Bombyx mori: one gene and its partner. The protein of the gene in region 2 binds, or shares a complex with, the protein of the main gene of each other region. Links are inferred from orthologs where the notes say so. Each region holds a gene or a part of one and is shown on either strand. Other genes may lie near its edges.

Region 1 (4,439 bases), on a different chromosome or scaffold from region 2:
CCAGAGTCAGGGTCAGGGGAGCAAAACGTGTCTGGGATTGCTAATGAGTTTATCGTTATGTCACTGAAAAATACATAAAGGTTTAGTTTATTTTTTACTTGTTGTAATATCAATACTTCAGTGATATAAAAAGTTTCAGAAATTTTAATAAAAGAGGCAAACCAACTACATTTACTTTGTCAGCTCTGCTTATAATTGAGACTGGAACTAGTTTATATTGACGTTTGGTTTTTAAATTACGTGCAAAATAAAATAAACAATTATAAAATTGCAATGCAAGATTCTTTAGCCACTACTACCTAGCTTACCTAAGATTTTTGAAACTTATGTTTAAATGGCTGCAACTATTATGTATATAATTTTTTTTGAATCTTCAATAAAGCAGCCATATTCCAACCTTGTCCCATACTGACCTTTTGCTACCAGTACCAGTAACCAGTAGGTGTATCACAACAGTACTCTACTATACCGTGTATAGAACTAAGCCGGCTTAGTGACTATGTCAACCACATCCATCTATTATACCCATTTGACATTTTATAATCATGATAAAAATAGAAAATTAAACTTTACCTTGGGTGGGTGTTGTTCCTAACACAATGATGTGTGAGCTCTCCAAAAAATTGAACACCAAGCAAACTATACAGTGACATAAAAAACAAGAAGAATAGTGTAACATTGTAGATTTGTTGACTTGATCTCCTGTAATTTATAAAAGTAATACACTCAGTATAATTTAATATCATCAAAAATACAATATTTAGTGGTAGGAGCAACAAACTTACTTGAATATCTGGTTTATTCTAGATTTTGGCATTGAAAACTTCAAAAATACTCTTAAAAACCGTATCATAATTAATGGCCTAGGTGCTCTTAGTATGCTTAAATAGCTGTATCTAGGTACAATTCCTGTTAACTCAAACATTTGTAGCAATACAGATACCCAAAGAAAAAATACCATAGAAGCATCAAATTGGCACCAATGATCTTTTAGGTATGCGACATCCCCCTGCAACAAATAATTCCTTTTTTATTTGAATTTTCGAACAATTATCTAAAAACAGCAGCAAATGTAAAGTATACTAAATGTTGTTTAATAACAAATACATTAAAAAAAATTACTTAAACAACTTAAATTAGTAATGTGGTAAAATGTAAACATGCACTGGTAGTTATCACTATTCTATTTAGGCTTTAACGATGTGATTTATATGGGATCCAATTACAAGTTTTACCAAAGGTGGTATCAATAAATTGAAGTGTATTAAATAAACTAAAATTGTGAAAATATTGACTGTAACTCATTACCTTAAGAATTCCTCTTATGTGCATTTTAGCAATCATTTCAGCAGTAAAAAGTAGAGTTACGCAGCAATCAACTACAAAAGTTATAGTTTGAAGATAAGGATACTTCTCAAATGATTTTGGTGTGTTTAAAGATACAGACATCAAACTCAAAAGGGCACATAGTCTCAAAATTCTTCTAACCCATAGCTGTAAAATAAAGTTTGTTGCTGTTAAATTTTAATTTAAAATGGCAAACAAAATTCATGGGAGTAGTAAAATTTTAAAAAATAATTAGACAATTTAATTAAAATAGTCAAAGAAAATTTGAAATCAGTTGAAGTACATTTTATATTGTAAAGTTGTTTTCTTCTTCTTCTCTTCAAAAATTTTTTTAAAGTGAAGTGAAATCTGTGTAACCTAGTTTTGACAACTCTTAATAATTATATCGAGAGATGAAAGACTATTTGGTTTAAGTGACATTTTACTTAATGCACGACATTTATCTTGATAATTAAAGGTCTGTTTTATTTGGTATTAGCATCAACTGTTCAATGTTTTTAATTGAACTTCAATAAAGTTCACTCCATTCAATTAGCTAAAAAAAAATTGTTGTGATATATTGTCTAAATTTTTAACTTTAAATAAAATTAATAAATTAATTATTTTTAACTTTAAATTTAAGTGCAAAAATGTCACTTACACCAAATACCTTTCACTCCTTTATATGAAAAAGAATGATTTCTTAATAATAATTCAACGTAACATGTAGTATTTGTAGTAACGTGTTTAAAGTACAATAAAAAAAGCTTGATTAATGGAAAATGTACCAACTTTCATCACAATCAGATAAATCTTTTATGAATATAAATAGAAAACAGGCATTCATCTAAACATTTTTTTTATATAGATGATAGATAGTAAAGAATTTTATGATGCCCAAAATGCCATGAAACTGATTATTAATAGCCTGAAAGTTTATTTTATGTTTGGAATTTAATTGATATAACTATATAGGGGTCCTGGTCTAGAGAGCAATATTAAGCAAAAGGCCAAAATGTGATTTGTAGTGAATGAGTCTACAAATGAGGACATAGGTAATGAGATACTGCTCCACTATGTTCACCTGAACACCCAACAAATGCCAACAATATATAATTTTTGTCTTGAACTTTCATTTATGATTTAGTGAGTAGATTGGCTGCGTCCTTGGAATTGCCTTGGCAAATTTACGTCGATTGTAGCTGTATTTTTTTTTATTGCCTTTGTAGGCAGACGAGCATACGGCCCACCTGATGGTAAGTGGTCACCGTCGCTCATGGACGTCAACAATGCCAGGAGCAGAGCCAAGCCACTGCCTACCATAAAATGTATGTCATGAGCCGCAGACTATGAAGTCTTTTAAAGCAAACAAGCAACAAAAAACTACCTTATTAACCCATTCGATATCAGCACTTTCATTTAGCGATTCCTCTGGTCCGTAATCAGCCAGCACAGGCTCTCCTTTCAAGCTCTGCTTCCTTCCCAACATTTTTATGCGTTTGAAGAGAATTTTTGAAAATTATTCTTAAGCGGTGCGGATGGAATTTGTAATTTCTGTATTTATTTGGAACCATTTCCACTTTGAATATTTCATTTTCATAAAATAAAAGCAGCTTGAAAAATCTGTTTTAAACACAAAAAACTATTATGAATAATATTTGTTAACACTATTAACGTCTAGGGACAATACAGTATTTAAATATTAACATGAAATTCAACAATTATTTTAACTTCCTTGATTTTCGTTCAAAACACTGTTCAAAATGATTTGAATCTGAGATGTTTTACATTGCTGGTCAATAATTAATGTTCTTGCAATTTTAACTAGCAAAGGGAACATAGCTCATACGTTTGTTTTAAAATTAAATTTAACGAAAACGAAATGAAATAGAAAAGAGTATCCCATTAATCGTGAATAATTCACTGAGAATTAAGTTTTTCTTTGCAAAAAAAAACCGTAAAGTCATGTTTTGCGATTTTTATCTTTTCTTCCACGCTTGTGAATTTAAGCAATTCCTAAACTATTCAGTATTGCTTGTTGAATGGCGAACTTGAATGTTGTGAAATTAATTAATTTAATTTGTAAGCTTGTTTTTTTTTATTGACCTTGCAAGCAAATGACATTACGGCCCACCTGATGATGAGTGGTTAGCGTCGCTCATAGACCTGAGCAAAACCAGAGGCAGAGCCAAGCCACTGCCTATCGTATTTCTTTATACTTAAGCAACCTTGCTTTTAATAAAGCACAATGACTGCGAATGGTGACTTACTGATTCTTGGCGATGTTGATTTTTTTTATTGCCTAAATGGGTGGACGAGTTCATAGCCCGCCTGGTGTTAGGTGGCTACCGGAGCCCATCGACATCTACAGCCTAGATGTTGCCACCTACCTTGAGATATGAGTTCTAGGTATAGATGCAAAGTCCCACCATTCAAACCAAAAGGTACTGCTGCTTTACGGTTAAAATAGGCAGGGTGGTGGTACCTACTCGTGCGGACTCACAAGCCTACCAACAGTAATTAGTACCCAAATTATAATTTTGCGGATTTGATTTTTGTTACGCGATGCTGTTCCTTCATCGCGGAAGTCAATCGTGAACATTTGTTAAGTACGTATTTCATTAGAAAAATTGGTACCCGCCTGCGGGATTCGAACACCGGTGCATCGCTACATACGAATGCACCGGATGTCTTATTCTTTACCATATCATCATTTACCATCATTTCGAATTAAAATTACGTTTGTATTTACCAACTCTTGCAACCATTTATGTGTTAGTTTTACGACTCGTAAATAATAACGTATATTTCGACATTCACGTATATTTTGGTTCAGTTGCACACTGATACATTGTGTGACGGTTTTTGTTTGCATTTTATAGTCACAATAAGAAGCATCGAGCATACAATACGTACTTGACAAAGTACATATTTCATTAGAAAAATTAGTACTCGCTTGCGGGATTCGAGCATCATTACATCGCTACTTCGATCAACAATAGTAACTAGATTTCGGGTCGGTGCATAAAATCCGTCTCGTCAAATAACAGCTCACTTGAAATGTGAGCTGTTATTTTGTTTAGTTCACTTCAAACACAGCCAATGTCAACCCG
Region 2 (3,826 bases):
TCACACCAACGGCTAGGTAATCAGCCGCGAAGTCTCTTTCCTTCTACTTTGCCCGTCACAATCACCTTGTCCAAGTTATCTGACTGTCGGCGGGTAATATGACCGATGTAGCTGAGGATCGTCTGGTAGCAGATTGTTGAGAGCCTGACTCAGATGCGAAGCTGATCCAGGATAGATTTATTTGTCCTCTTGGCCGTCCACGGAATTCGGAGCATTCGTCCCCAGCACCACAATCCTTCAATCATCAAAAAATAAAAAATAAAATAAAGTGAGGGTGTGAAGGTACCTCTCGGTGGGCGGTATGCGGAAGGGGGCAGGCGCGTGCGTGTGTGAAGGCGCCGGCGCGGGGCTCCAGGCCAGCTCCATGCGGGACAGCGGGGACTCCGGCGACGTGTACGCACAGCACCGTACTGACGAAAATACATCACTTGTTTGTTAGCTAAAATAAGCATATTGTTAAGCTCAAAAAAAAAAATTTTTTTTTAATTGCTTTAGCTGAATGGACGAGGTCGCAGCCCACCTGGTGTTAAGTGGTTACTGGAGCCCATAGACATCTACGACGTAAATGCGCCACCCACCTTGAGATATAAGTTCTAAGATCTCAGTATAGTTACAACGGCTGCCCCACCGTTCAAACCGAAACGCATTATTGCTTCACGGCAGAAATAGGCAGGGTGATGGTACCTACCCGCGCGAACTCACAAGAGGTCCTACCACCAGTAAACTACTGGTGGTAAATGTTGTTAAAAAGTTGTTAAGCTTAACAGAAAATAATTCTGTAGCTAACCATCTTTCAGTTCAAGTGATGAAGTCTGTATGACTCCCATTTTTAGACATAATACTTAAACCGTCAGATCAAAATATCGTAATAAGTAAGTCGTAATTGACAGTAAAAATTTATTTAGATACCTGGACTTTTTATGTGATGTACTTGTGGGTCTCTCGGCTGTGAGGGCCACTGAGAGAACTGTCCCTCACCAGATGACCCTCCCGTCTCCGGAGATGTACTACTTCCCACTATTAAATAAAAGGCTTCCAAAATTAGCATCTAACAATAATCTACATATATATTGGTATATTAAAAAGTTATATGTTTCGACACCATTGGTCCCACGACAGATGCCTCTTCTACTATAAGAAATAAACAAAAATACTCTAACTGAAATTCGAACCTGAATTCTGTAGTGAAGTTGCCAACCATTGAACATTAAGCTAATCAGGCGATCGAAAAGTTTATTGAAGATAGTCTCTGATTGGCTATTTGTATGATGTTATAAGTATGCAATTTGAGCCAAAGAATAGCATGGTTGGTTCAGTGCTCAACTAGGGCCGTTGTAAAAGACAGCTTTACAGATGATATTGCCACATGGACGATTTTCAGTTTTTTTTATTTATTCCTTAGATGGGTGGACAAGTGGTTACTGGAGCCCATAGACATCTCCAACGTAAATGCGCTACCCACATTGAGATATAAGTTCTAAGGTCTCAGTATAGTTACAACGGCTGCCAAGCCCTTCAAACCGAAACGCATTACTACTTCACGGCAGAAATAGGCAGAGTAGTGGTACCTACCGGTGCAGAATCATAAGAGGTCCTACCACCAGTAAAAAATTACAATGAACGTCAAAAAACTATTTAATCAACAGACTTACCGACGATTCTCTTCTGTTTTCCGAGGATCTTGGCTCTGGGCGAAGTCTGTTGTCCGTGCAACTGGTCAGGCCATATCTCCACCGATTGACCACTCATCGGTGTTGATTTCCTGAACGCGTAGAATAAAATAAACCTCATTGGACACTGGCAAAATGTTAACAATATTTTTGTAGTAAAACGATAATGCAGCAAATACTTCGGTCTCATTTTTCAGTGACAATTAACTTCAGATTAATGTGAACCTTTTGTGCTTAGTGCGAGCTTTTTAATGTTCTCGATAGCGTAAAAGTTAACTCAAATTTGTATGCAGTTGGAACAGCGCACCTAGCGTAGACAAACGTTCCAACTCCATACAAATATGAGTTAACTTTTACGCTATCGAGAACGTTAAAAAACTCGCACTAAGCGCACTGGTATTGAGTGATCACCGAATCCCATAGACACTTGAATACCGCCACTCATTTGGAGACACGAGGTCAAAATCTGAATTGTATTGTGTAACGACTCTTGGACCCATAATACATAGCTTTTTTGCAGCAGAAATAGAAAAAGTGGGAGTGCCAGCTGTTAGAATGATTTGGGTTACTGCACAATGCCATTCAGCTGAATGTAGAAAACAGACTCACAAATTGGAGGAGTCGCTTCCGATGGAAACTGATGAGCTCGTGGACAGCTGGTGTGCAGACCTTGACGTTACTGCAGTCTGGAAATAATCAGTGACATCATCAATGTAACAGTTTCATCCTAAGGAACACATCCTTTATTTTCAGTAGAATTTAAATTTTAATTAATAAAAATTAACTTTAATTTTATTTGAATTATTATTTAAAACAATACCATTCTGTAGGTTTTCTTTACGTGTGTTTGGCACTGAAGTCCTCTTAAATGACAAGACAGATTGATGAATTGTTTTTGGAGCTTGAGTGATTTGCTGATTTTATAATACTCGGTAGGTTTTAAATTCCAAATTTATTATTTATTTTTGGAATACCGGGAAAATTTTGCATATTAGAAGATGGTAACTTACTATTTTGTTAAAAGTCGGATGAGTTGTATTAGCGATCGGGGTCTCCACCTTTGGGGGATCTTCATAATGAGATGGCTCATCGAAAGAACCCTAAAACCAGATACAGTGCTTAAAATAAACGTGGTAGGCCAATTTTTTTTCTTTTTTTTCCTACCTAAGCTGAGAGCCTTGAGAGGCTATATCAGCGTAACCTTAACTAGTAGCTGAGCTCACGGGGCTCAAGCCTGACGACGTTGCTAACACGAACCCTAGCAAGAGCCGTGCTTCGCACAATCTACCACCAGATCGGAAACGCGACCCACTAAGAAGATCCGGCGAGAAACTCAGTGGGCTGTGTCTGAGGGTTGTAGGCCAATACTATAGCTTCGACGATAGAAATGAAAATGAACATGTTTACAGAATATTTGTTGTGTTTGGCACTGCATTGTCAGAATAGTATGCACCGTCAGACGAGCGCATGGCTCTCGATATTAAATGTTCTCCTCAGTCGTATGCACTCTTGGCAGAGTGGTCGTGGTCATCATTTCGGGTGGTGGTGCGCTTCACCAGACGTCGCCATTCCTCGCGTACCGCGGACCTACTTGTGCACTTAAGTTAAATGTTCCTAGAGCTTAAAAATAGAGAGACGTGTTCTTTTCTAATCGAAAGCTCGACGGCTTTTTGGTAGCTTAAAATTATCATAGACTTTATACAATGAATACTGCGTGTTCTTGCAATTCTAGTTGTACTTCTTATACTGTTTAATTTGTGTTGCGATGAACATAAATACTTGTATTCGCGTAAATTTGCGACTTGGCTGTGCTGCTGACGTTGACATTGTTAATGTCTCTGAGCAACGATATTTTTTGTCCCTACCTATCCGCTGGTAGCCAAATGGGTATTCCAGCTACGCTCAGACGGGTAGGTGAGCTCACGGGCTCAATCTGAGAGAATTTGCTAACACTAGCCCTAGCCCTAGCAAGAGTAGTGCTTCGCAGAATTTACCACCAGATCGGAAGCGCAACCCACTGAGAAGATGCGGCGAGAAACTCAGTAGGCGGTGTCTATGGGTTTGTCGAACTCTTCGTCGTAATCGACGAGTTCAATCAGGATGCTGACTAAAGCAACGATTACTGAAACCGTGGCGGCACTGTTTTTTAGTTTGCT

The links.
Region 1: the proteins of protein unc-79 homolog (region 2) and sodium leak channel NALCN are in contact, whole or in part, in a cryo-EM structure (PDB 7SX3), measured with the Homo sapiens proteins. The link is inferred for Bombyx mori from reciprocal best matches to the Homo sapiens genes UNC79 and NALCN. Residues at the interface, in NP_001333147.1 of Homo sapiens: Cys861, Gln862, Ile865, Glu968, Pro969, Asp970, Phe1020, Gln1022, Pro2088, Asp2089, Ala2092, Pro2093, Leu2095, Leu2096, Met2099, Leu2139, Pro2141, Asn2142, Gly2143, Ile2144, Gln2147, Leu2148, Ser2151; in NP_001337678.1 of Homo sapiens: Gln349, Met350, Phe351, His352, Glu353, Gly358, Trp359, Gln360, Leu361, Phe712, Ser713, Ile714, Arg717.

The regions. Positions count from the first base shown.
Region 1 is NC_085110.1:9,112,389-9,116,827, forward strand, and holds the start of sodium leak channel NALCN, read right to left. Parts: upstream 3,079-4,439; 5' UTR 3,034-3,078; exon of another isoform or gene 2,950-3,033; 5' UTR 2,816-2,949; coding exon 2,714-2,815; intron 1,495-2,713; coding exon 1,309-1,494; intron 1,010-1,308; coding exon 786-1,009; intron 703-785; coding exon 574-702; intron 64-573; coding exon 1-63. UniProt on the Homo sapiens protein: Voltage-gated ion channel responsible for the resting Na(+) permeability that controls neuronal excitability. NALCN channel functions as a multi-protein complex, which consists at least of NALCN, NALF1, UNC79 and UNC80.
Region 2 is NC_085113.1:1,084,226-1,088,051, forward strand, and holds part of protein unc-79 homolog, read right to left. Parts: intron 2,771-3,826; coding exon 2,681-2,770; intron 2,357-2,680; coding exon 2,280-2,356; intron 1,763-2,279; coding exon 1,653-1,762; intron 1,018-1,652; coding exon 910-1,017; intron 411-909; coding exon 287-410; intron 1-286. UniProt on the Homo sapiens protein: Auxiliary subunit of the NALCN sodium channel complex, a voltage-gated ion channel responsible for the resting Na(+) permeability that controls neuronal excitability.